Macaca mulatta: one gene and its partners. Each later gene encodes a partner of the first gene's protein in a complex. Links are inferred from orthologs where the notes say so. Each region holds a gene or a part of one and is shown in the gene's direction. Other genes may lie near its edges. The genes, in order: KAT5, ING3, BRD8, ANP32E, MBTD1, MORF4L2 and RUVBL1.

Region 1 (4,185 bases):
CCAAGAGTATTTAAACTCCAACAAATCCTGTAACTGGCCCCTATGGTCAGCCGGCCCCCACACTGGAGTGTACTTTCATTTTCAATAAATCGTTCATTCCTTCCTTGCTTTGTGCGTTTTGACCAATTCTTTTGTTCTTCTTTTTCTGTTTTTTTTTTTTTTTTTGAGACAGAGTCTCGCTCTGTCAGCCAGGCTGGAGTGTAGTGACATGATCTCGGCTCACTGCACACTCCGCCTCCCAGGTTCAGGCCATTCTCCTGCCTCAGCCTCCCGAGTAGCTGGGACCACAGATGCCCGCCAAAACGCCCGGCTAATTTTTTGTATCTTTTTTTTTTTTTTTTTTTTTTTGTAGAGACGGGGTTTCACCGTGTTGGCCAGGATGATCTCGATCTCCTGACTTCGTGATCCGCCCGCCTCGGCCTCTCAAAGTGCTGGGATTACAGGCGTGAGCCACCGCGCCCAGCCGTTTTGTCCAATTCTTTAAGATGCCAAGAATCTGGACACCCTCCACCAGTGACATCTTCACAGTTCTGAGGAGTATTCATGGGGTATTTTGTAGAATGTTTCTCAATTGGTATTTGTCTGATCTTTTTCTCATGATTAGGCTGGAGGTAGCTGGGATTTCAGGTGTGAGCCACCATGCCCAGTCTCCAAATCCTGTTTACGCAAAAATTTTTAAAAATTAGCCAGCCTTGGTAGTGCGCGCCTGTAGTCCCAGCTACTCAGGAGCCTGAGGTGGATCACTTGATCCAGGGAGGCGGAGGCTTCAGTGAGCGGAGATTATGCCTCCCCCGCTGCACTCCAGCCTGGGCGACACAGACCTTGTTTCAAAAAAAAAGCCTAATATGGCTGGGCGCCCTGGCTCACGCCTGTAATCCCAGCACTTTGGGAGGCCGAGGCGGGCGGATCACGAGGTCAAGAGATCCAGACCATCCTGGCCAACATGGTGAAACTCCGCCTCTATTGAAAATACAAATATTAGCTGGGTACTCTGGAGGCTGAGACAGGAATATTCGCTTGAACCCGGGAGGCGGAGGTTGCAGGGAGCCGAGATGGCGCCACTGCACTCCAGCCTGGCGACAGAGCGAGACTCCGTCTCAAAAATAAAAGAAGCCTAATACACGAAATAAAGCTAGAAATCTTCCCTGAGTCCTCCTGCCTACGGAATGAAGTCCACAGACCTGGGGGAGCGTTCGAGCCCCTCTAAGCACAGTTCCTTTCTCCAGCCTCTCGCGCGCAGTTCACTCCCGACAACACCTCCCGCCGCCACAAGGAGACGCCCGAGGACTGCCCTCCGTCAAAGCCCAAACGGTATTGCCACGTGACCCGCTCCGCATCCACGTGAACAGCGTCGCACCCGGTGGGCGTCACGTGACAGACTCAGTAGTTCTCCAATCGCTGTGCACGTTGTGGGGTTTCCACCTAGGACTCGGCCTGAGGCTTGTAACACTTCGTTTTCCCAGGAGTCACAGGGGCAGTCTTGCCCCTTGCAACTGGGTCGCGGTGACTCTCAAAGGTCCCCCTCTACAGGGGCTTCGTGAGGCCCGGGCCTACAGCGGGCTCGGTCCCGGAAGTGACGTCTCCCACAGGGGCCGGAAGTGGCAGTGGAGGGAGGGAAGATGGCGGAGGTGGTGAGTCCGGTGCCCGGGGCGGGGCGGAGGGAGCCAGGGGAGGTGGGTAGAGCCCGAGGCCCCCCAGTAGCCGACCCTGGCGCCGCGCTGTCTCCCCAGGGGGAGATAATCGAGGGCTGCCGCCTACCCGTGCTGCGGCGGAACCAGGACAACGAAGATGAGTGGCGTGAGTGACGTTGGGGGGCGGGGCTAAGGAACCTGAGGGCGAGGGGCGGGAGGGAGTCAACTGAACCCCCGGGATGGGGAGGGGCCTCTGGAATTATGGGGCGGGCGGGGCGCAGATACTCCCATGAAGGGGCGTGGCTCTTAGCTGCTCCGAGAGGTACAGGGCGGGGCCTGGAAAGGGGTGGCAGTAGTGACTGAAGGAGACTTAGGAGAGACCTTCTAAGTGCTGGAGCTTAGGGATCCGGCCTTGGGGTGGAGTTCAGGTCGTGGAAGGGTGGAGTCTCAGCCTGGCCCGGCCCGTCTAAGGCCCCTGCCTATGCTATTCCCATAGCCCTGGCTGAGATCCTGAGCGTGAAGGACATCAGTGGCCGGAAGCTTTTCTACGTCCATTACATTGACTGTGAGTTCTGGGCCTGAGGTGGGGCATCAGGGTAGGGTTGGGGAACAGTCTTTGGCATTCTGTCCTGAGCCATCCCCACTGCTGCAGTCAACAAACGTCTGGATGAATGGGTGACGCACGAGCGGCTGGACCTAAAGAAGATCCAGTTCCCGAAGAAAGAGGCCAAGACCCCCACCAAGAACGGACTTCCTGGGTCCCGTCCCGGCTCTCCAGAGAGAGAGGTGGTGAGTAGGTCCCCCACTTCACCTCTTCTCTCCTGCCTCGTGTTTCTCTTATCTGTTGGCATTAGGGGCTCCTGGATGGGCAGTAGGCGGCTCCCTCTCACCCTGACTTCATCTTGCAAAGGATGGGGGCCGAATTGCACATGTAGCTCCCAGAGTCCAGTAGCTAGTCCTGTGTCCTTCAGAAGGCGAGGGTGGGGTTTGATAATTTTGAGCTGAGGGACCCCTGTTCCCCTTCCCCATTCCACTGCCATCCCCGCCCCAGAGGAAGACCCTGGACCTATCTCTACAGCCGGCCTCGGCCCAGGCAAGCGGGAAGACCTTGCCAATCCCGGTCCAGATCACACTCCGCTTCAACCTGCCCAAGGAGCGGGAGGCCATTCCCGGTGGCGAGCCTGACCAGCCGCTCTCCTCCAGCTCCTGCCTGCAGCCCAACCACCGCTCAACGGTACCCTCAGCAATTCCAGGGACCTTGCTTTCTTCTCAGGTCCCACCTTCTCTACCTTCTGACCCACCTTTGTTGGTTTCTCTCTGCAGAAACGGAAGGTGGAGGTGGTTTCACCAGCAACTCCAGTGCCCAGCGAGACAGCCCCGGCCTCGGTTTTTCCCCAGGTGAGTTTCCCAAACCATTTCTTGTTCCCTTTCTCTCTTCTACTCTCTGGTGGCCTTTTTCAGGCTCATCTCACAGCCATCCCTTCTTTTACTACTATATCTGCAGAATGGAGCAGCCCGTAGGGCAGTGGCAGCCCAGCCAGGACGGAAGCGAAAATCGAATTGTTTGGGCACTGATGAGGTGGGTCTGGGGAGCAACAGAAGGAGCTGGGTGAAAAGGAAGGGATGCAAGCAGGGTGGAGAGTTAGTGATGAGTTTAAAAATAAAGAAGGGGTGGTAGGCGGGGCTAGTGTTGGTGGGATTAGGAGCCAGGCAGAACATGGTTCAAATGAGTCATTGGGGCTGGGTGCCATGGCTCATACCTGTAATCCCAGCACTTTGGGAGGCCAACCAAGGCGGGCAGATCACCTGAGGTCAGGAGTTCGAGACCAGCCTGACGAACATGGTGAAACCTTGTCTCTAATAAAAATACAACAATTAGCCAGGCGTAGTGGCAGGCACCTATAATCCCAGCTACTCAGAAAGCTGAGGCAGGAGAATTGCTTGAACCCCAGAGGTAGAGGTTGCAGTGAGCCAAGATCATGCCACTGTACTCCAGCCTGGGCAACGGAGTGAGACTCCATCTCAAAAACAAGGGTCATTCAGTGATCTTTTCCACATCATCAATCCCTTAGGGTTTCAGGTTTTTTATCCAGAAATTGGGGATCATGGTACCTCCCCCATAGGGTTGCTGTTAGGCTTGCAGGAAACCTGTCAAAGGGCTGTGAGCTGTGGTGTCCTGCTGAGCTGTCTCTTCTAACCTGGTATTTTCCACTGGCCCTGGGCAGGACTCCCAGGACAGCTCAGATGGAATACCATCAGCACCACGCATGACTGGCAGCCTGGTGTCTGACCGAAGCCACGACGACATCGTCACCCGGATGAAGAACATCGAGTGCATTGAGCTGGGCCGGCACCGCCTCAAGCCGTGGTACTTCTCCCCGTACCCACAGGAGCTCACCACATTGCCTGTTCTCTACCTGTGCGAGTTCTGCCTCAAGTACGGCCGTAGCCTCAAGTGTCTTCAGCGTCACTTGGTATGAGGGGTCCAGGGAAGCTGCCTTCCCAGCACTCTCCACGTTGCCCTTGTTCCTGACTGTCCTCTCTTCTCCAGACC
Region 2 (3,500 bases), on another chromosome or scaffold:
GTATTTTAAATAAAATAATTTTAACCAGGCCCTTTGAGGAATGGAGTTTTCTGACTAACAACCCCTTTTGTTTCACCTCTTCACATAAGTGTTTACAAGCATTATGATTCACTCTCATGCCTTAGAGAAATAAATGTATAGAATATAGGAACTTCTTTGTAGACTGAGGATCTTTCATCATTCTAAATAATAGCTTTTATCGTGTGACAGTGACAGTGTGGATGATGGCCTTATAAGTAGGAGGAGATTAGGCTCTAAGTAATCACAGGGCGTATTATGAAAAGTGACCAGCCTCCACCATCCCCTCCTCCCATTCTCTAATCCCTAATCAGTTTTGCTTTAATTTTCACGTCCTTACTTCTGAAAATGGAGTATAGAACATTTCCTAACAAGTTGAGAGTCTGGGTCTTAGAACTTAAAATTTATTAAAGGAGACTTCGGAGATTATTTAGCCTAGCACCCTCATTTTATAGATTAAAAACCTCTGAGGCATAGGTTAATTGACTTGCTCAAGGATACTAAGCAGATTGACTAAAAGAAACAAAGATTTAGGTTTCCTCATTAAACTGACACTTTAACAGTGTCCCAAATTTTGGTGGTTATCTTTGATCTTCTTTGAAACAGGTAGATCGACACTTGAGAAAGCTGGATCAGGAACTGGCTAAGTTTAAAATGGAGCTGGAAGCTGATAATGCTGGAATTACAGAAATATTAGAGAGGCGTAAGTAAAATTTACAGTTTTCCATCAATATTGGACAGTACATGTGCAAATCACTGAGAAGACCTTGTCTCACAGAGGCTTTTGAAACCTGCCCTTCAGTGGATGGTGGCATCCAGGTCAGATAGCTTGGACCCTAGCAGTTGGAAATGTTTGGGTCATGGATACTGAGAGAGATAATATAGGATATCATCCACTCACTCTTTATGAAATAACATATTAAATAATTTTATATTCACATATATTAGTAAGTTGAGTGGTAAGAACAAATTTAAAGAAACGTAACCATCGGGACACAAATTAACCATCTTGCATTAAGTATGTTGACTTTACTCTGCCTCTTTATACACTTAAGCTTTGAGGAAGGTTGTTAGTTTCTTAAGAATTGTTTTATGGCTTTTCCTTAACTGCATATACTGAAAAAGATTCCATTGGTTTCATAACACTACCTCTTTTTCTTAAAGAAGTGTTTCCCTCTTTCCCTTATCAGCAAGAAACCATTTTAATATTTCTTTGCAAGGCTCTATTTGATCTCCTGCTATAACTTACCCCTGTCACTTCTTTGGTGTGTCTTCCCAAAAATGGAAGCGTGAGCACTGTTTCCTTGACTAATTTAGCATTTCCTCCAACCTAAATAGGTAATATACATAAAAGCAGTTAGTGTGGTACTTGGTATAGAGTAGGCACTCACTGGATGTTAATTGAACCAAGTTAGTATTATGGCTAATTTCTACTAGAATTTAATTAAAACTTTCAAACATATTTTTTCTTGATGCATTTCAACAGCAAGAATATATACCTGTTTCTACACACAGATGAAAGGTTTCTTTACAGTGCCAATCTATGTATCTCTCTATATAGTCACTAGAAGTCAGCTAGGGAAGCCAATCACAGATCTGTCTTGGTGTCTATAGTTGCATTTTTGTGTTCAAAAGTAGATGCATCACTTTAGATAATCATCTATTTATTTGTGATACTTTTCTTCTGGAGGAACCCTATATAAAGATAATAAGTATTTTGAGACAAAATTAAAAATTCTGTAGCTGCTTTGATTTTTAAAAAATGCTGATGATAGCTGTGAGTAATGATAATTCATGCCTATTCAGTACTGCAGGAAGGTTACTAAAGCATCCTCTCTAAGGACACAGACATATGAAACAAAATTGGATCAAGTTATAAAAACTGCTCCACCCTGTGCCCTGCCATAATTTCATCTCAAGGGATCAAAAATAAACCCAGAAAAATTTATTTAGAGGTGTTTTAAAGCTTGGTGTTACAAATTCTATTCCTCACTTTTTGCAAACAAATCCCTAACTTCTTTTAGGAAGTCTTTATTACCATAATGTCATTTTAATGATCAAATAATTTTTTTCATATAGTAATGTCCCCCATCACATAGAACTTTAGAATCTCCCATTAAAACATCTTCAAGTCAGTAAAACTAGATTGACTCTTACCAGTAATGAGATTACAATGTCCATTCATTCATTTATATGCCACCCACTGTGGTGAATTCCCTAATTAGACACGAGTATTCCTTGAGCCATATTGTACTTAAGGTAAATATTGGGAAAGGGATAACTTATTGTTTAGAGAGAGGATATACTCAGTGTGGGATGGACAGTGGTGATCCTCTAACATGTCTGGCTAAAATAATACAGGCATATGCATCAGAACTTGCTAGTCCTCTGCTGGGTAAGGGAACTCATTGCCTGTAGTTGAGTGATATGTGAAGTTCTGCGGTGACATTTAATGGTGGTGTATCTCTGTGCCTCTCTTCTTTTAGGATCTTTGGAATTAGACACTCCTTCACAGCCGGTGAACAATCACCATGCTCATTCACATACTCCAGTGGAAAGTAAGTTTGGTGTAGTGCAGCTAAGTTTTAAAAACAATGAAAACCTTATTATATCATCTGTATGTTCTCTTTTTTTAACTCTATACAACCAATTGAGAAGTAAATCCCTTCTTTTTTTTTTTTTATTGCAAGTACTGGCAGACTTATCTTTTTCCTTGAGGAGAGCATAGGTGATTCGGAAATGAGTATTCTGTTTTCTCTTAAATGTGTAGAGGGAGAATGTATAGTACTAATAGCATATATTCCCTTCATATACATACCTGATTCTCCTTAGGGAGCTAAGCATATATTCTAATAACATATATTCCCTTCATACGCATACCTGATTCTTCTTAGGGAGCTAAGCATATATTTTAATAATATGTATTCCCTTCATACTCATACCTGATTCTCCTTAGGGAGCTAAGCATATATTCTAATAGCATATATTCCCTTCATACACATATCTAATTCTCCTTAGGGAGCTAAGCATATATTCTAATAACATATATTCCCTTCATACACATACCTGATTCTCCTTAGGGAGCTAAGCATATATTCTAATAACATGTATTCCCTTCATACTCATACCTGATTCTCCTTAGGGAGCTAAGCGTATATTCTAATAACATATATTCCCTTCATACACATACCTGATTCTCCTTAGGGAGCTAAGCGTATATTGTAATAACATATATTCCCTTCATACACATACCTGATTCTCCTTATTCAACTGAGCCAAACAATAAACTATTTTGTAATAGGCCCTTTGTCTTTTTTATCCTTGCTTCTCCAGTGCTTAACCTAATGTTTGGCATATAATTAAGTCTGAATGGTTGGTAAGTCAGTGAGTGGATGAATTGTTAGTCAGATGACTGCTGGCTAGTTGATACAGTCAAAAAATGACTGTATCAGTGCTTCTTTTGACACATCAATTTGGTGGGA
Region 3 (3,434 bases), on another chromosome or scaffold:
ACAATACCACAGGCTGGATAATTTATAAAAAATAGAAACCTATTCCTCTTTGTTTTGGTTCTGGAGTCTGGGAAGTCCAAGATCAAGGCACTGGTAGTTTTGGTGTGTGAGGTGGGTTACTCTCTGCTTCTAAGGTGATGCCTTGTTGTTGTATTCTGCAGAGGGGATGAACACTGTATCCTCACATGGCAGAAGGGACAGAAGGGTAAGAGGGCACTCTCTTCGATATGGAGCCCTTTTATAAGGATGCTAATCCCATTCATGAAGGCAGAGTACTCATGAGTTAATTACCTCCCAGAGGCCCCACCTCTTAATACTGTTGCACTTGGGATTAAGTTTCAATATGAATTCCAGAGGGGATACCATCATTCAAACAGCAGAGACAGAATGATACCATCATTCAAACAGCAGAGATAAACTTCTTTAGGTATGAGGAAACTAAAGCTCAGAGGTGCTTGGTCATGACTTGCTCGTGATCAACCAACAGTTAATAGCAGAGCTAGAACTAAGCCCCAGATTCTTACCTGCAGTTCAGTCTTCTTTCTACACTGCTGTGCCTTCTCTTATATATCTACTTTCTGTGTTTCATTAATATTGTTTTAATATTCACTTGATCCTTTTTTCATCTCCATGAAAGGAGAAAAAATTATTCTTAGCTTTTTATTTGTGCAGTAAGAGAAGTAGATTAAATAATATATGACTGTACATTGTAAACAGCAAATAACTACTGTGTGATAAACTTATCATTGGTGCTGTCTACAACTTTGGTACCTGGGGCCAGCACTGCTCCTCTGATCGTATAGTGGCTTGACCTGTGGGCTCTGGAGTCGGGCTGCCTCTGAATTGGAATTTAGGCTGTGTGCCTTTCAGTGAGTACTTAACCTCTTTAGATTTCAATTTCTTCATCTGTCAAATGGAGATAATAAGGCCAGGGGCGGTGGTTCATGCTTTGGGGTAATCCCAGCACTTTGGGAGGCCAAGGAAGGTGGATCACCTGAGGTCAGGAGTTCGAGACTAGCCTGACCAACATGGTGAAACCCTGTCTCTACTAAAAATACAAATATTATGGCCGGGCGTGGTGGCTCACACTTGTAATCCCAGCACTTTGGGAGGTCTAGGTGGGCGGATCATGAGGTCAGGAGATTGAGACCATGGTGAAATCCCATCTCTACTAAAAATACAAAAAATTAGCCGGGCGTGGTGGTGGGCGCCTGTAGTCCCAGCTACTTTGGAGGCTGAGGCAGGAGAATGGCATGAACCCGGGAGGCAGAGCTTACAGTGAGCTGAGATCGTGCCACTGCACTCCAGCCTGGGAGAGAGAGCGAGACTCCGTCTCAAAAAAAAGCAACAACAACAACAAAAAAACCAAGAATTAGCTGGGCATGGTGGCGCACACCTGTAATCCCAGTTATTCTGGAGGCTGAGGCAGGGGAATCGCTTGAACCTGGGAGGCAGAGGTTGCAGTGAGCTGAGATTGCTCCATTGCAATGGAGCAACCAGAGTGAAACTCCGACTTTAAAAAAAAGTGCAACAAGAGTGCAACTCTGACTTAAAAAAAAAAAAAAAAAGGAGATATTAATGATACCTACCTTACAGGTTTATTGAGAGGATTGAGTTAGTATAGAAATACAGTGTTTGGCCTATTGTAAACAGGCAAATATTAACTGCTGTTGCTATTTTATTATCTGATGAGGGTTGTTATCTTTGTTACTGTTTTCATTAAGAACTGGTTAGTTCTTCAAGAGAACATGTTAGGTTATCATGTTCCACACAGAGGTTTGATTTTCTTTATTTTTTCTTGGTCACCTGCAGACCCATGGACTTAACTAGCCTGAAGAGAAATCTCTCTAAAGGTCGGATTCGCACCATGGCCCAATTCCAGCGAGACCTGATGCTGATGTTCCAAAATGCTGTAATGTACAATGACTCTGATCATCACGTATACCATATGGCTGTGGAAATGCGGCAAGAAGTCCTGGAGCAGATTCAGGTAGTGTATGTGGAGATCTGTAGCCTCTGGAATCTTGATTTCAGATCAAGATTCTATGAGAATAAAGGTGATTTTGAGGTGACTTTGTGTTCTCAGAGTTTACTTTTAAAGGTGATTAAGGCCCTGAAGGATTGATAATGTGCCAGCTGGTTTGGAAAACCCTGAGCCTCACAGTAAGTCCAGCTTTGATAGTGAAGTCGTCTAGGAATGCAGGCAGCAGTGAAGAGCTCTCAAGAGAGCTGAGGATAGACAAGTAATGGGAATTTCCGCTTCCAGAGCCTCAAGTCAAGGGCTAAACTTCAAAGAGGCCGGAGTCACTGTGTATTTTTTGGTTGCTTCATCTGTTGATATTAATGTATGTTCACACTTTCCCATCTTTAGGGGATAAGATATAGTAGCTAGAAGACATTTGTGGGTTTCTTTTCTGGGTAGCATCATACTTTAAAGAAAAAAGTATAGTTGAGTCTATTTGCCAAAAAAAAAAAACTTGCAATACTTCAGCGTTTAGGGTTCATAATAGCTTGCTATGTGTTCCTTAACCCTTTAGGTACTGAATATTTGGTTAGACAAAAGAAAAGGCTCAAGTAGTCTGGAAGGGGAACCAGCCAATCCAGTGGATGATGGAAAACCTGTTTTCTAACCTGCAGCTGCTATCCTGACTTTTTCTAGAGTTTCAACCTCTCCCCGAACTCTGACCTACAGAGGATCCTGGGACTTCTTTGCCATGTCCCTACTTTCTTTTCAAATAAGAATAATGCCTTAACTCACAACCAACGAGTCAAAGATGCATGTGGACATAATATAAAGAAAAAAAGGGGAAGCTGAGGTTTGGGTTTATGCCATAAATGTTGCCCACATCTTTGTTCCATAGGCTTGATTTAAAGACAATTCGATTAGATATTTTACTAAGCCTTTTACTCTATAAATAAATGTCTTTACACAAACGGAATATTGCTTTTTAATGACTAGATAAGCTGAGCATAGAGGGGACAGCATCATCCAGCGAAATGAAGGTATCTGACATGGGTCTTCTTACATTTACCACCTGGAAAGGAATGGGGGGGGGTTCTTATCATTTATAGAGTAGGGATAATTGCAGCATCCTTCAGACTGGCAGAAGGATGACATAAGTTATGAGTAAAATGTCAGAAAACATCTAGTGATCTAAGATTCACAAGGAGAATAAAAATGACTGGCTGGTTCCCTTTGGTTAAAACGAACTGGCCAGATGCTGCAAGGCTCCTTGCTGGGATTGGCCCTCTGCAGCCACCGTCCTCACGCTAGGGCCTCAGGTCTCCTAGCAACAAGTTGTAGCGTACGAGGACGGCCGCGGAGGTGAGTACTTAAGAGTCAAATTCAGAATTTGCAGGTGCAATCCAGAAAGTCCCCGCGGACCCAGAGGCCCTGCTTTCCAATTAGGCCTGACCCTATGCACAGAGAGGTC
Region 4 (4,200 bases), on another chromosome or scaffold:
AATAGCACGATTTCGGTTCACTGCAAACTCCGCCTCCCAGGTTAAAGCAATTCTCCTATCTCAGCCTCTGGAGTAGCTGGGATTACAGGCGCCCGCCACCACACCCGGCTAGTATTTTGTACTTTTTGTAGAGACGAGGTTTCACCATATTAGTCAGGCTGGTCTCGAACTCCTGACCTCAGGTGATCCCACCGCCTTGGCCTTCCAAAGTGCTGGGATTACAGGTGTGAGCCACCACACCCGGCTAAAAGATAATTATTATCCCACTCTTTCATATCCCATCCCACATAGACAAACTGGTTTTTTTTTTTTTTTTTTTTCCTTCTTCTGTCCTGAACACTAAATTTTAATCCCCTGAGGGGGTGCACTGTTCCTGGAGGTACTGTAATACCAGGTGGATGCGTTAAGTGAACAAGAAAGCTCCTATTGCGTCTTCCTGCTCCCCAAATCCATTTAATATATTGGACTCGGATAGAAAATATATCAGATATTAAACTGTTAAGAACAGATCCTACACTTGATCTTAGCCAAAAGGCAGAGAAGAAGCGATAAACACTTTTAAAAGCACACTTTACCTACAGATTTCCATGGAAACCAACCAAAGGGAAATTAGAGAGGCATTGCTGTGCCATTTCTATGCTAATTAATGTCTGATTTTCATTAGGCCAGCGTTGTTTTTCCTCCAAGGTCTTAGTGTTTATTACAGCAAAAATTAACTCAGTAACAATTCCTCCAGGATAGTTTTATTTAAATATTATTAACTTACATACTTCACCCAACTGCTTTCAAAATTGTTGTCTTTTATAGTGTTAAACTACCATCTTTAAAATCTTGGCTCTGGCTCTGCATCACGGAAGGTCAGCCTCTGTGAAAAGCCTGACCCCAGCAGGACAATGCCACCAAGGCATCTTTTTAATGTGATGCGCACGTTGCTGTACACCTTGGCTGCAAAGCAGAGGCTGTGTTTTTAAAACGGCCAAGAGCCAGTGCATGCCGTGTGGTGAATTATCAGTATCGCAAGTTGGGCACGGAAGGATGCTTTCTCCCTTTTTAACACTAACAACAGAATAAAAAACCAAAAACTAAAAAACAAATCCAACAGACAACAAAACCGTCCGAGTGCCCAGGGAAAGCGCGCCAACTACATAAAGAAAAGTAGGGGGGGAACTGGGATTCAAAATCATTACTCCCGGACGTACACCCTCCTGGACCTATCAAAATTAACTGCGCCCTTGATCGTAGCCAATAGATACGGAGTTTCTGGTCCAGGTCCTCCCTGAAGACTGATAGACATTTACCTAGCCCAATGGAATAATGTGACGCTAAAGAATCAACCAATACGTTTGGGAGGTGGGTGGAGTGTAGGCCAGGGGGTTGGCGGTGCCGTGTCATGGAGGCTCAGTCTCTGAGCAGCCATTGAAGGGGAAGGAACTGCGGGTGTGTGTGTGTGTGCGTGTGTATGTGTGTGTGTATGTGTGTGCGCGCGTGCGTGCGTGTGAGTGCGCGCGCTAGTGTGTGGACAAGGAGGTGGGGGCAGCTGAGTTAGAGTCCCAACTCTTGGACTCCATTTGCTATTCTCTTCTTTCTCCCCCACACCTATCTGGTGGTAGTGGGCGTTTATATTTGCGTTCCTTTTCATTCATTTCTAAATCTCTTAAAAATTTTGGGTTGGGGGTATTGGGAAAGGCAGGAAAGGGAAAAGAAGGAGAGTAGTAGCTGAAGAGCAAGAGGAGGACATGGAGATGAAGAAGAAGATTAACCTGGAGTTAAGGAACAGAGCCCCGGAGGAGGTGAGATGACTCAGCCCCCACCCCTTCCCCATCAGTCGTGTATTCTGAGGATCGGATTTCTGGTGGTCCTGGGTGGGTGTGCGGGGATGGAGTAATAAGTTAGCCCCCGCCCCCCCGGTTTAGGGTTGGGGAAATGTTTAATTTTAAGTTTTAAATCATTAAAATCTTCTACTTAAAATGGCGAAGGGTTGAAGTTTCTAGGGGCGTTTTTGTGTGTGCATGGGGGCTTAGCTCCTTTCGGCTTTCATCGAGTCGGGCGTCCTGGCCTCGTGGGGGCGGGAAGCGGGCTGGTGGGGGCGCTCTGCCGCTTCGCTCCCGGCGCTCCTCCTCCTGAGGGCCAGCGGCGTGGGACGCGACCCCCCAGTCCCACTCGGCCCCTGCCGCAGCCATCGGCGCCTGAGAAGTTAGTCCAACTTTTCTGCAGTGCGGCCAACTCATCTTTTTGGGGGGTGGGCTCCCCCGGCCTCAAGGCCCTGGGCATCCGACGTCGCGACGGGCGCGGACTGGGGTCGCTTTCAAGGTCCGCGCACTGTCTGCTCCGGCGGCGCCCACTCCTCCGGGAAGCCGCGCGCGCTGCCCTCCGCCCTCCGCCCTCCGCCCTCCGCCCGGCGGAATCTGGGTCAGCCGCGGGTTCTCTGACCGCGGGCGAGTTTGGGGACTCGTCGCAGTGACCGGAGGTGGGGAGGGGACGGGAGGCGTAATCCGCTTCTTCCCCCGCCGTGTAAAGATATGTGGCACGTCGTGTGGCCGCAACTCTTGAATTTGATCCCTGGAGACGGTTTCACAGAACTCAACATAAGGGACGTAGTAGTTTCGTGCTTTAAAGATGGGTTCGCCGAAACTAAATGATGCGCTCTCACTGCTGTTGCCTTAGTTAAAGAGACGGCGTTGGGAGGGGCCACATGAGGCGGGGTCGCGGTCAACTTTTCGGGGGTCGGGCAGGAGGCGTTTCCGCCTCCTTTTCGCGGTTGCCTCCTCGGCCTCACCTACCCAGGGCGAAGGCGCGAGGGCAACGCGGGTTGGGAGGCGACCCCTTTTTTCCTTGGGGAGTCCCCGCCCGGTGTGGGGTTTCCCGTCAGTCGGAGCGGCAGGTCGCGAGAGCAGGGCTGGTGGCCAGCGGGGAGCCTCGCAGAGGAAAGCATCTGTCTTGCTGAAAGAAGCCCTAGAATTGGAATGTAAGGGAGTTGTCTGTAGCTGGATCGACCGATCGATAGAAGGATATAACTGGGGTGGTGTCTGTGCAGACCCGCATAGAGGATGAGCAGGGTCTGTCTAGGCTTTCGCGTACGGCGTGTGGAGTGGCAACTAAGACTTTTTTTTTTTTTTTTTAATAAATTTTTTTTTTTTTTGAGACGGAGTCTCGCTCTGTCACCCAGGCTGGAGTGCAGTGGCCGGATCTCAGCTCACTGCAAGCTCCGCCTCCCGGGTTCACGCCATTCTCCTGCCTCAGCCTCCCGAGTAGCTGGGACTATAGGCGCCCGCCACCTCGCCCGGCTAGTTTTTTTTTGTATTTTTTAGTAGAGACGGGGTTTCACCGTGTTAGCCAGGATGGTCTCGATCTCCTGACCTCGTGATCCGCCCGTCTCAGCCTCCCAAAGTGCTGGGATTACAGGCTTGAGCCACCGCGCCCGGCCTTTTTTTTTTTTTTAAGGTGCCTGTTTTCTGAAATTGGCAGGGGCCAGGGAGGGGAAACAGTTGCTTGCTATCAGGGTCATTCCGGAGAGATCTTGAAGTTTCTAGAACTTATTCTTAGGGGCTTCAGGGAAAAAACAAAATCAAACTTGAAAAGCTGTCTCTCACAAGCACACGTTTAGAATACTTTTTGGTGGCTTGGGTTGGAAAATTGAATCCCGCCCCCGCCTCCCCCGCCAGGATTCTTTGACTTAGTGATTGTAGTAATTTCTTTGCCAGTTTTGGGAGTGCAGGACGTTGCCTTTTTTCAGCTTCTTCCTCTGTGTTGTAATAACGGTCTCTTACATTTGTGTAGACAGTTTACAAAGCACTTTTCCCGTTTGTTATTTACTTTCCTCCTTACACACTTGTAAAGTGGATTGTGTTATTCTAGAATCCAAATTAGCAGACGGAGTCTCAGGACAGTGAAATGATTTACGCAAGTGCAGGAATTGGTTTTCTGACACCAAATCTAGTAGCCCCCACTCCTCAACTAAATGGGGAGTGTGAAGACGAACCAATTCACAGCCCTGCTGCAAACCAAGTGTGACTCTAGGCAAGCCATTCTTGTTCTCTGGGCCATAGCTTCCACTTCTCCAAAACGGAGCTCAAGATGCTCTCTCTGGCAACAGAAATAATTATGTCAAAGTCGTATTCAAATAGAGAAGGTGGCATTCCTTGTTGCCAAATTTTAGCCCTCGGATACCTCAAACAGGTTTTCACATCGGGTATAGAGAAC
Region 5 (2,732 bases), on another chromosome or scaffold:
GCGATCCGCCCGTCTCGGCCTCCCAAAGTGCTGGGATTACAGGCTTGAGCCACTGCGCCCAGCCAGACAGTAACTTTAAGAAACCCGAACACAGCCAGGCGTGGTGGCTCACGCCTGTAATCCCAGCACTTTGGGGATGTGAAACTGAAAAACTGTTTTCCATACTAAAGACCTACAGAAACATGGCTATACTGTTAATCTGTTTTCGTTAAAGAATAAGTCATCAGATAAGAACTCAGGCAGGCACTCAGCATTGAACTGGCCCCCTGCCTTGTCCTCCCACATAGCTGGGACTGTAAGCATTAGCCACCACACTCGGCTCAGGAGTTTAATATTCGTTTTTCTTCGTAGGAGAAGAGGTGTACGCAGGGTCTCACTCTGTCACTCAGGCTAGAGTGCAATGACACAATCATAGGTCACTGTAATCTCGATCTCCTGGGCTCCAGCAATCCTCCTGCCTCAGTCCTGAGTAGCTGGGACTACAGGCTTGCACAGCCATACCCAGCTTTTTTTGTTTGTGTTTTGTAGAGCTGGGGATTTGCTACATTGCCCAGGCTGCTACCACATCCAGCCCAGATTTACTTTTTTAAAATGTATGTTACATCCTTATATAATTTATAATTTTTTTAATGTTTTGATTTAACATCAGATTTATATCTTTTTCTTCAGATAATGTTTTTAATAAAAGTACTCCTTGGGGCCAGGCGCAGTGGCTCACACCTGTAATCCCAGCACTTTGGGAGGCTGAGGCGGGCGGATCACGAGGTCAAGAGATTGAGACCATCCTGGCCAACATGATGAAACCCTGTCTCTACTAAAAATACAAAAATTAGCTGGGCGTGGTGGTGGGCGCCTGTAGTCCCAGCTACTCGGGGCAGGGGGGAGGAGGAGGGGGCGAGGTGCTGAGGCAGGAGAATCGCTTGAACCCAGGAAGCAGAGGTTGCAGTGAGCCGAGATCACACCACTGCACTCCAGCCTGGCTACAGAGTGAGACTCCGTCTCAAAAAAAAAACTCCTTGGGATTAATAATATATTAAAGTCATATTTATTGTGTTGGTAATTAAGATTGTACTTAAGAGGCCGGGCGCAGTGGCTCACGCCTGTAATCCCCAGACTTTGGGAGGCCAAGGCGGGTAGATCACAAGGTCAGGAGATCGAGATCATCCTGGCCAATATGGTAAACCACATCTCTACTAAAATACAAAAAATTAGCCAGGTGTGGTGGTATGTGCCTGTAGTCCCAGCTACTTGGGAGGTTGAGGCAGGAGAATCGCTTGAACCGGGAAGCGGAGGTTGCAGTGAGCCGAGTTTGCTCCACTGCACTCCAGCCTGATGACAGAGCAAGACTCCATCTCAGAAAAAAAAGATTGTACTTAAGAACCATGAAAGAACTACATCATTGTTTGTACAAACATTGACATAAAAGTGAATACTTGATCACAAAATTCTCATCCCAGTCAGATTAGTGAGCACCATTACCCTGAACATTTCATTGAAGATGTCCATTGTGCAGTGTGCATTATGCAGTACTGTTCCTTTCCAGAATGTTTCTTAACTGCTAATGTACTTGAAAATTAAAATTAACTGAATGCTCGTACTTTAGGGACTTAACTTGAAGTTACTGAAGAAATGAAGAAGTCTTAATAACTGTGAAACTGATGGAACATGAAGATCATAGGCAATCTGAGTACTCTAGAGAGCCTTAATGCCCATATGTTTCTCTCTCCCATTCAGTGACGACACTGCAGCTGAAGGAGGAGTTGCTGGATGGAGAGGACTATAATTTCCTCCAAGGAGCGTCTGATCAGGAAAGCAATGGCTCTGCCAACTTCTACATCAAACAAGAGCCATGAGGTGGCTCAGAAACTGAGGGCGAGAGGGGAAGGATTTTACACAGGACTGATTTATAATCAATCCAGCTGTACAGGGGGCTATTCTACTGGGACATTTTGCTAAACATAGAAGATTTCAGTTCCACATTTTTCAGGTGGGTGGGGAAACTATTTTAGTCGGGGGGGTGGGGTGGGAAATTTTCAATTTATAAAGATGGACAATTTTTGTGTTGTATTTGAAGCTTTTGAAAGAATTTTGTAATATTTTCCAACTTTGGATTTATGTGCATTGTTAACAAGAACTGAAATTCTAACTTTTTTGGTAAGATTAAAGTTTAGGTAGCAGGATTGAAGGAAATGATTTAAGAAGGATATAGGTGTTAAATGCAAATGAACTGTCATTACAAATGAACCTTTTTGGTACCTGTTGGGAGATTTTGGGATTTTTTAGAAGTTAGGCCAGTCACATCTCCAGCTTCCTTTGCTGCAGAAATATGCAACTGAACTCCTCATGGAGGGGAGGGGTCATCACCACACAGGTCATGGAAGGGGTCATTATTTCTGCTTGTTGGCATTTTATTGCAGCCCATTTTAAATGTTTGTACAGAAATATTTTTCATTCTGTGAAAATTTATTTGGAGTTCTATACGAAACTGGAAGAACTCTGGATACTTTTATATGTTCTCTTTTAATTAAAAAAATGATTAGAATTATCCTAACACTAAAGTGTTAAACTGGAATGGTTGACAGGATATACAGGATCTCAGTCTACACATTGAGGGGTTGGGGAAAATGCAATGTTGTTCTGAGTTTATTTTCCTTTCTAAAAAAATACCCCACGAAAGGGATTCTGATCAGTTCTCTGCCATTTCCCTCTGTCTGTGAAATAACAACTTGGTA
Region 6 (4,242 bases), on another chromosome or scaffold:
AAATATTTCCACTTACTTGGTTTCCTTTCCTGCACTCTTCTTGACACTCCAGTCAACATTAGCCAAAGCAGGGAACAAGTTATTTCTAATGTATTTTGAGGCTTGGAAAGACAAGTCATTATGGTTACACAACAGAGTACTATTAGGGGCTTGGGCTAGAGGCAGGTGAAGTTCAAATCCTGGTTCCCATACTTGTTGTGTGCACTAAGAAAATAATTTGACATCTCTACACATTAGTTTTCAATCTGTAAAATAGGACTGATAATATGGATGGTGTGTGAAAACATATACTGTGCATCATTTATTATTTTGCTTTACATTCTGTAGCACCCTCTAGTGGTGTATACAAAAATATGCATTGCATTTCTACTCTCCAAAGCAGTGGTTCTCAAACTTCAGTGTGTGCTGGAATCACTGGGATAGTTTGTAATAACACAGATTACCAAACCCCACCGTGAGAACTTCTGATTCATTAAGTTTGAGGTGGGACCTGAGAATGTGAATTTCTGACAATTTTTCAGGTGATGCTGATGTTTCTGGTACATCCAGGAAACACATCTTGTGAACCACTGCTCTAAAAAAATCCCTCTTGTGTACAAGTATATAAGATAGATAATTGAAAGGGGTATGATTTTTGTTGTTTGACTTTGATCTAGTACTGCTCATCTAATAAGGACTTGGTGATAAATTAAAAAAAAAATCGACATGAAGGATATAACACAGCATCTAAAATATAGAAAGCATACAAAAAACTGAGGATCACAGAACATAAATCATTTGCCCAGGGTACTGAGACTAGTAAGTGGTGGAATGAGGTTAACAATTAAGTCTCTTTCTCTTACTCCAAAGACACAATAAAGTCTATCAATACCACTACAGAAAATAGGGTGCAAACACACATATCTGATACAAATTTCAAGAGAAAAGGAAAATCAGTTTTCAATACCAGGGTCCAAGTTTTACTGATGAGTTCTTATCTCTTTACTAAAGTAACAGCTATCTGTATTTTCAGTTTGGGTGAGTTGCGAGCATTTGAAAAGGTGAGGAAAAAGGGTTAGGATCTTCAGCATCAGTGCTTGGGTCATTCATTAACTCTTTGATTAAACAAGGCAAGGACAAAAGAAGCGAGGGATGGAGAGGGGCCTTCCCCCCCGCCCCCCCACCCAAGGAGAAAAGGAAAGAAATGAGTAAAATTATTTGGATCTTGGGTCACAGTTCCCTGACTACTAGTGCTATTCACAGAAGCTGATTTTATTTTTTCCTAGGAATGAACGATATCAATGATGCCTTAGATATTAGCGTTCAGCAAATCAAGAAAGGGGAGGGGGGAGGGAAACAAAATCCCAGAATCCCAGGGACCACACAGCCAATCCTTTGCTGGGATTTGGCGGCATCTAGTGGCGAACTCGAGAGGTATAAACCTTACCCACAGAACTTTCTGGAAAATTAACAGTGCGTATTTGCCTGAAGAAGGTCAGTGTGCTTGCTTGGAGATCAGGACGCAAAGGTAAGAGCGCCCTAGTCACCATAAAAATCCGGAGTCTCTAACGGAGGGGAAGGCTGTCATAGATAGATATTCTCATAGGAAAATTGTATTTGTGCCAAGAGAACTGCACGCAACCTTGAAGGGAGGGGGGAGGTGTGGAAGAGGGGAGGGAGGAGGATACTAGACAACTTGAAAGAAGTCTCCCTTTGGAGTTGCTAATGTGACGATGGAAGGCTTTGGCTCTGAATCATTGGAGGGCTGTGGTTTACGACCGGATTTTGGCACAGAGGAGTATTTAAATCAGGGAAAGCCAAAATATTTCTGACAGTGCCCCTTTATCTCTGTTATTGTCGCCTTGCCTTAATTATTTATTTTCATTTTCATTAGAACATTTTCAAACAAAATACAGAAATAGATAACCTGCGCGCAGTAGCTAACCCCTCCCCGCAACTCCCACCCCAATCACGCACGCGGGCGCGCGCCGTGGCTCTCACCAGTCCAGACGCCAGGGGCGCACGCCTGCGCAAACACATCACCTCCAGCGCCACGAGGGCCGCTCACACAGCAACCCCAGGGGCACTCGAGCCTGCCCGCGCACTAACACACTGGCCTTAATGCCTTGCGCCCGTTGCACTCACGACCCTAACTCGCAAACACAGCAGAACCCCCCACTGCGCCTTTTTTTTCCATGTTCGGGGAGTTGCGCCACAGGCCTGGGGGCGTGGCTCCAGATTTGACCTCGCGCTTCCCCACTCGCGGGAACCTTAGCTCATTTCCGCCTATTTCCGCAGGCCACGTAGACACTTCCTCTCCCAGTGGGGGGCTGGGGGGAAACACAAACCCATAATGCCTCCCTGCAGGAAAAAAATTAAAAAAAAAAAAAAAAGGAAAAGGAAAAAAAAAAAAACCTTCTGGTCAGAGGAACTCTGGGTCGTGAAATAGGCCACGTGAACATTCTGCCCTATAGACTTATGACCCAACGGCTGTCACGCTTTTGGAGGGCGGGCTAAAAACCTAAGAGGGCGAACGTCATTGGCCGGAACTCGCACTGACGGAGGAAGAGGATTGGTTTGCTGTAGGCCTTAACAGTGAAGAAGCAGGTTGCTAGCACCCGCCTTTACTGCGGCGAAGTGTCATTGCTGACGTGGGGGTGGTTGTCCAATCATTTGGTTATGGAACATTCTAAAACTTAGACAAGACGATTGTGATTGGCTGAAGGGCATACGCCCTCCTCCAGGGTGACGTGTCTGCCTATGGATATCAGTTGCCAGAGAAACCTGGCTTTACTATGGCGGTTGGAGGAACGGCAGTGATCACACGTCGTCTGCTGGGAAGATCTGGATTCTCGTTTCAGGTTTCGGGGTGGGGGTGGGGAGAAAGGGTCGATGATTTCCTCTTTTCGTCGGGTATAGACGGGATTAGCTAGTTCCTTCACAATCGGTCAGAGCTGGATTCAGATTCCTGCTCGCCAACGCCCAGCTTGGGCAAGGCTCCTGTTCTTTCTGTGTCTCGGTTTCCATGTTTGTAAAATGGTGATAATAATAGTATCTACCTCAGAGACGTGTACTGTATAATGGTGCGTATAAGGCACGTAATATGAAGCCTGGCCCCTGAAGATATTAGCTATTGTTATGGAGATAAATAATACACGTAATAGAATGAGAAAAATTATAAATTATATAAATTCGCTAATTGTAGTGCCCTTTCTGCCATCAACTTCTTTCCTAGAATAAATTAAAGATAAAAGAGATATATCAATTTTTACCAATGAAATAATTTGCTCTTTGGGAATTGCCTCAAAATTGCAGAGATTGTAATTTTCCCATGTTGAAAAGTTAAATAAAAGGTGGGGGGGTGGAGTGCGAGAAAGAAAGAGATGGAGAACGAGAGCGAGCTGGAGATGAACCACATGCGATGAGTAGGCCTTGTTTGGATCCTGAATCGAACACACCAACTGTAAAAATATGTTTAAGACGCATCGGGAAAATTGGAACATGGATTCGATATTTGATGTTTTTTAAGGAATTGATGTCAATTTTTTTAGGCGTCACAGTAGTATTGTGATTATGTTTTCAAATTGTCCTTTTTTGTAGAGACATATACGAAAATATTTACGGATTAAATAATATAATGTCTGGGATTGGCTTCTAAATACATTAATGACTAGGATTTGCTTCAAAATAATCTAAGCGGTAGGGGGAAATGGGGAGGGGTATAGATGAAACAAAATTGACCCTAAATTAATAATAGTTTTTGCTGAGTGATAGGCAGTGGGTTCCGTATATTAATCTGCTTTCCTTGGTATACGTTTAAATTTTTGTATAATAAAATACAGAAGTCAGATATTCCCGTGAGCTTGAAAAAGTCGGGGGTGGGGGGGAGCAGTGGGTGGGGTTATAGATGAAACAAGATGGCCTTCAGTTGGTAATTGTTGAAAGCTGGATGATGGATTCGTGTAGGTTTGTAATACTATTCTTTTATTTCATCCATTTGAAATTATCTTTAAGGAAAAGTTAAAAAAATTGTCAGAAATTATATAAATATACAATAAGTTAAATTTGAAAATGTAGCCACAAGAAAGGAAAAAGAAATACTTGTACATTATTTATCAGCTTTGGTGTCCTTTGTGTGTGATGAAATTGCATTGGCTGATGTAGAAGAAAGCCATATCTCATATCTTTTTATTTTATGTCCTTTCCTGTCCTTTTGTTTGACCTTCTAGGTCACCATCAGAAAAGCTAAGTTTGCTGTATAGT
Region 7 (3,500 bases), on another chromosome or scaffold:
CTCCAGCAGTGGGCTCACGCCTGGGATTCTCTGGGTGTTAATGGCAGGAGGGCAGGAGTGTTCTGTGAGCCCGTTACAGGATTTCAGAAAGCCTGACAAAGCTCTTTCTTTCCCCCTGCTTAGCAAAAGCCACAGTGTTTTAGCTTTGAGCTGGTACTGTTGTCTGCTTCTCATGCAGATGGATACTTATGCCTTGACTAGTAAAATGTAGGAAAGGATGTTATCACTTTACAGCATTTGTAGGAAATATGTGATTAAAAGAAACAAGACACCACTGTTTCTTGTGATGGTCTTGCAGTTTGGTTTCCTCTTCATCCTAAAAAAGACCTCTTCACTATTAGGGAATAGTTTGTTTTCTGACTTGAAATTTGATCCGTGGGTGTTTTGTTCCTTGGAGCTTTGGTCAAGAGATTACTGAAGACTTATTTTGGAGCAACAGGTCCCCTCGGTTGGTGAAGTGGCCATCCGCAAACTGAACTCCTGGGAGCCCTTGACCTGAGAAGAGTGTTGGGCTGGGAGTCAGAAGTCAGGAACTGTGTTGCTCCATCACTGACCAGCTTGGTTAATTTGTCACTTTGGGTCTCTGGGTTTTCTGTGGTTTAGGGTTCTGATTTTGAGTTTTCTCCTACCTGGCAAGGCAGTTTTGAGGACCAGACAGGAAACATTTGCTGCCTTTAGCTATTCAGCATTTAGTGAGCACCTCTGTGTCTCAGGGCCTGGTAACTAACAGGTGATCACTAAATGCTGAACAAATGACCAAACACCAGCCTCTTCCTCTTGCTGACTGCACTCTTAGGAGCCCATAGGAGGATGCAGGTGAGTGGTGAACCTGTTATGGAGTCAGCCATTCCACAGGGAGGGGCCCATAGACTGAGTAGCTCTAGGTTAAGTAAGGACTAGGCTGATGCAAGCCTGTGGTCAAATCTAGTGAGAGGAGGCACAGCAGTATAATCATGGTATATTTATACTTACTCTTTATACTTACTCTTGTAGTCCGTGTGTCCCCAAAGGCACAGAAACATTGGGAGGAAGTCATGAGTCTGGTTAGGGTCAAATGCCCCCTAGAGGGCATTTGACTTGAACTTTAATGACTGGGAACTTCCTAGGAAGGAGAATGGCATTCCTGGCAGATGGAATAGACTCAAAAGCATCGAGTCATAAAAGAGCTTGCGGGTGTCCAGGGCAGGGCTGGTAGTCTCATGTGGCTAATCAAGGAACAAGGGATTGGAAAAAGATAGGGCTGGAGAAGGAGGCTGGGCAGGCCCCACGGAGCTTATACTTACCATGAAAGGATTTTGTTTGATTCTTACAGGTCAAGGGAACCTCTAAAAATTCCTCTGTGTTTAGAAGCTCCTCAGGCTTTGAGGAGGGGTCTCCTTACCTCAGGATCCCATGTTGAGTTGATGAGTGGGATGCAGGGGGATGAGGCTTCTGTAGTCACCTTACAAAGCAGCACTGACTCTAAGTCTTCTCTTATGCAGGGGGGACAAGATATCCTGTCCATGATGGGCCAGCTAATGAAGCCAAAGAAGACAGAAATCACAGGTAGGAGAACCAGCGTGGCCTGCGAGCAAGGGGCAGGGTGGAGGGCCCTACATTCTGAGATGCCCTTGCGGCTCTGTGAGCACATCCACCCTGAGAAAATGCCTCAGAACAGTTCCTTCTTCCTCATAGTTCAGAGCTTGACTCTAGCCTTAGTCTCTGGCATTATTTAGGCAGCCATACAGCAAGCACACTGTGTGGTCTCTGCCCCACTGCAGTCACAGTTTCTGGTCCCTATGAGGCCCCAGAAATGTGGATTTATTTCGCCCAGCTCTGCCCGAGCACAGACTCTGGAGCCTTGGTGCTGTCAGCCCCTCCCTAGTAGAGCACAGGGCAGCTTCACAGACCAGCTCCACGCACTGCCCTGCCCAGTTCGTGGGCTCTTCCTAGAGCTCCACAGGGGACACTGCTGCTGCTCTCCTGTGAACCTTTATTTTACCCTGCGGCTCTTCCCAGCTTTCCTGTTGCTGTTTTTTTCTAATTCTACCTACAATTTCGTCACTTTAAGATGTTAGTTAAACATTAAAGCAAATATTATCTTTAAAGTTTTAGCCAGGGCAGCAATCTGAGACCTTTCTGTTTGAGTTGTCAGGAGCAGTTTCTTTCTTTTCACATGATTTTCAGTGTGCATCCTCTTCGGACAATCCCGGCCTTGTGCCTTTGGTGGAAGACGCTGCCTCAGATCTTCCAGTTTTCTGTTTGTGAGCTGCTCCCTCCTGACAATAACACAGGAGCTGGTTTGGAAAATGAGCACTGAGACCTTAGCTGGGTTATGTAACTTTTGAGAGACTCATCCCTCTAGGAGCTCTGAGATTGGGCCTTTCTTCAGAGCCTTTCATTCCTCGAAGGTTTCTGCTCGGGATTCTAAAAGCACCCACTTCCTTATTCCAGGCACTTGATTGAAAGTTAATTAACCTAAGCATTGTTGTATGGGACCAAAAGAAAGGGTCATTTACTGAGTATAGAATAGGAAAATTTGCATGTGAAAACTCATTTCACTCAGGGCTCCTAAACTCCAGTGTCTCCCAGATCAGACAGAGCTACACTGGGTGTGTGGGAGGTGATAAGGCATGGTAGGGAGTGTGACAGCAGTGAGCATGTGCTGTGAAGGGATTCCCATGCAGAACACCCGTGCTACCTTTTTACATTTAACCAAACACATCTTTTGGGGGAGGCTACCAATTTTGTGACCTTTAGGTGTGATTATCACTGTGTTCAGATGATGACACTGAAGCCTGGAGTGGGGGGACACACCCTGTCAGGGATCACATAGCTAGTAGGAAAACTAGGCTCCCAGCATGGGTTTGGATTGAATTCAGGTGGAGGAGAAAAGGCGATAGTCTCTCCCAGCCCTGTGCTGACCTTGCCTGCCGATCCTTGCATCTCCTAGACAAACTTCGAGGGGAGATTAATAAGGTGGTGAACAAGTACATCGACCAGGGCATTGCTGAGCTGGTCCCGGGTGTGCTGTTTGTTGATGAGGTCCACATGCTGGACATTGAGTGCTTCACCTACCTGCACCGCGCTCTGGAGTCTTCTATCGCCCCCATCGTCATCTTTGCATCCAACCGAGGCAACTGTGTCATCAGGTAGGATGGCTGCCTGCCAGCCACAAGGCTTTTTTACCTTCCAGCTGGGCTCGTTTGTTCCTCAGGATCTCGCTAAACCCCACGAGGTGGAATGGGGATGAGGGGAGGTCACGTTGTTTTTGAAGGAAAACGTGCCAAGTGGCTTGCCTCTGGTCTCATTTCCCTAGTCACCAAAGGCAGCAGCTGCCCTTTCACTCATGATGAGGGTCTCCCATGTGATCTCTGGGGTGTGATACTACAATCTGGTCATTCAATTGGCGTGCACAAAGGTGAGATCAGACAGGGCTAGCCTTTGGTGACATTATACACATGAACGTCTTCAGGCTTCACCTGCACTCTGAGAGGTAGGCATTATTGACATCATTTTTC

The links.
Region 2: KAT5 (region 1) and ING3 share a complex: the UniProt entries of both Homo sapiens proteins name them as parts of the SWR1-like complex. The link is inferred for Macaca mulatta from reciprocal best matches to the Homo sapiens genes KAT5 and ING3.
Region 3: KAT5 (region 1) and BRD8 share a complex: the UniProt entries of both Homo sapiens proteins name them as parts of the SWR1-like complex. The link is inferred for Macaca mulatta from reciprocal best matches to the Homo sapiens genes KAT5 and BRD8.
Region 4: KAT5 (region 1) and ANP32E share a complex: the UniProt entries of both Homo sapiens proteins name them as parts of the SWR1-like complex. The link is inferred for Macaca mulatta from reciprocal best matches to the Homo sapiens genes KAT5 and ANP32E.
Region 5: KAT5 (region 1) and MBTD1 share a complex: the UniProt entries of both Homo sapiens proteins name them as parts of the nuA4 histone acetyltransferase complex. The link is inferred for Macaca mulatta from reciprocal best matches to the Homo sapiens genes KAT5 and MBTD1.
Region 6: KAT5 (region 1) and MORF4L2 share a complex: the UniProt entries of both Homo sapiens proteins name them as parts of the nuA4 histone acetyltransferase complex. The link is inferred for Macaca mulatta from reciprocal best matches to the Homo sapiens genes KAT5 and MORF4L2.
Region 7: KAT5 (region 1) and RUVBL1 share a complex: the UniProt entries of both Homo sapiens proteins name them as parts of the SWR1-like complex. The link is inferred for Macaca mulatta from reciprocal best matches to the Homo sapiens genes KAT5 and RUVBL1.

What each region holds. Positions count from the first base shown.
Region 1 is NC_133419.1:8,680,893-8,685,077, reverse strand, and holds the start of KAT5 (histone acetyltransferase KAT5), read left to right. Parts: upstream 1-1,385; 5' UTR 1,386-1,619; coding exon 1,620-1,797; intron 1,798-2,127; coding exon 2,128-2,196; intron 2,197-2,283; coding exon 2,284-2,420; intron 2,421-2,682; coding exon 2,683-2,865; intron 2,866-2,954; coding exon 2,955-3,029; intron 3,030-3,135; coding exon 3,136-3,210; intron 3,211-3,856; coding exon 3,857-4,105; intron 4,106-4,182; coding exon 4,183-4,185. UniProt on the Homo sapiens protein: Catalytic subunit of the NuA4 histone acetyltransferase complex, a multiprotein complex involved in transcriptional activation of select genes principally by acetylation of nucleosomal histones H2A and H4.
Region 2 is NC_133408.1:160,738,879-160,742,378, forward strand, and holds part of ING3 (inhibitor of growth protein 3), read left to right. Parts: intron 1-624; coding exon 625-721; intron 722-2,504; coding exon 2,505-2,576; intron 2,577-3,500. UniProt on the Homo sapiens protein: Component of the NuA4 histone acetyltransferase (HAT) complex which is involved in transcriptional activation of select genes principally by acetylation of nucleosomal histones H4 and H2A.
Region 3 is NC_133411.1:146,994,368-146,997,801, reverse strand, and holds the end of BRD8 (bromodomain-containing protein 8), read left to right. Parts: intron 1-1,812; coding exon 1,813-1,990; intron 1,991-2,537; coding exon 2,538-2,630; 3' UTR 2,631-2,934; downstream 2,935-3,434. UniProt on the Homo sapiens protein: May act as a coactivator during transcriptional activation by hormone-activated nuclear receptors (NR). Isoform 2 stimulates transcriptional activation by AR/DHTR, ESR1/NR3A1, RXRA/NR2B1 and THRB/ERBA2.
Region 4 is NC_133406.1:116,901,896-116,906,095, forward strand, and holds the start of ANP32E (acidic leucine-rich nuclear phosphoprotein 32 family member E), read left to right. Parts: upstream 1-1,400; 5' UTR 1,401-1,736; coding exon 1,737-1,790; intron 1,791-2,124; exon of another isoform or gene 2,125-2,467; intron 2,468-2,684; exon of another isoform or gene 2,685-2,965; intron 2,966-4,200. UniProt on the Homo sapiens protein: Histone chaperone that specifically mediates the genome-wide removal of histone H2A.Z/H2AZ1 from the nucleosome: removes H2A.Z/H2AZ1 from its normal sites of deposition, especially from enhancer and insulator regions.
Region 5 is NC_133421.1:58,823,564-58,826,295, forward strand, and holds part of MBTD1 (MBT domain-containing protein 1), read left to right. Parts: intron 1-40; exon of another isoform or gene 41-764; intron 765-1,734; coding exon 1,735-1,853; 3' UTR 1,854-2,732. UniProt on the Homo sapiens protein: Chromatin reader component of the NuA4 histone acetyltransferase complex, a multiprotein complex involved in transcriptional activation of select genes principally by acetylation of nucleosomal histones H4 and H2A.
Region 6 is NC_133426.1:110,318,700-110,322,941, reverse strand, and holds the start of MORF4L2 (mortality factor 4-like protein 2), read left to right. Parts: upstream 1-1,442; 5' UTR 1,443-1,507; intron 1,508-2,771; exon of another isoform or gene 2,772-2,848; intron 2,849-4,208; 5' UTR 4,209-4,242. UniProt on the Homo sapiens protein: Component of the NuA4 histone acetyltransferase complex which is involved in transcriptional activation of select genes principally by acetylation of nucleosomal histone H4 and H2A.
Region 7 is NC_133407.1:155,874,757-155,878,256, forward strand, and holds part of RUVBL1 (ruvB-like 1), read left to right. Parts: intron 1-1,481; coding exon 1,482-1,545; intron 1,546-2,932; coding exon 2,933-3,131; intron 3,132-3,500. UniProt on the Homo sapiens protein: Possesses single-stranded DNA-stimulated ATPase and ATP-dependent DNA helicase (3' to 5') activity; hexamerization is thought to be critical for ATP hydrolysis and adjacent subunits in the ring-like structure contribute to the ATPase activity.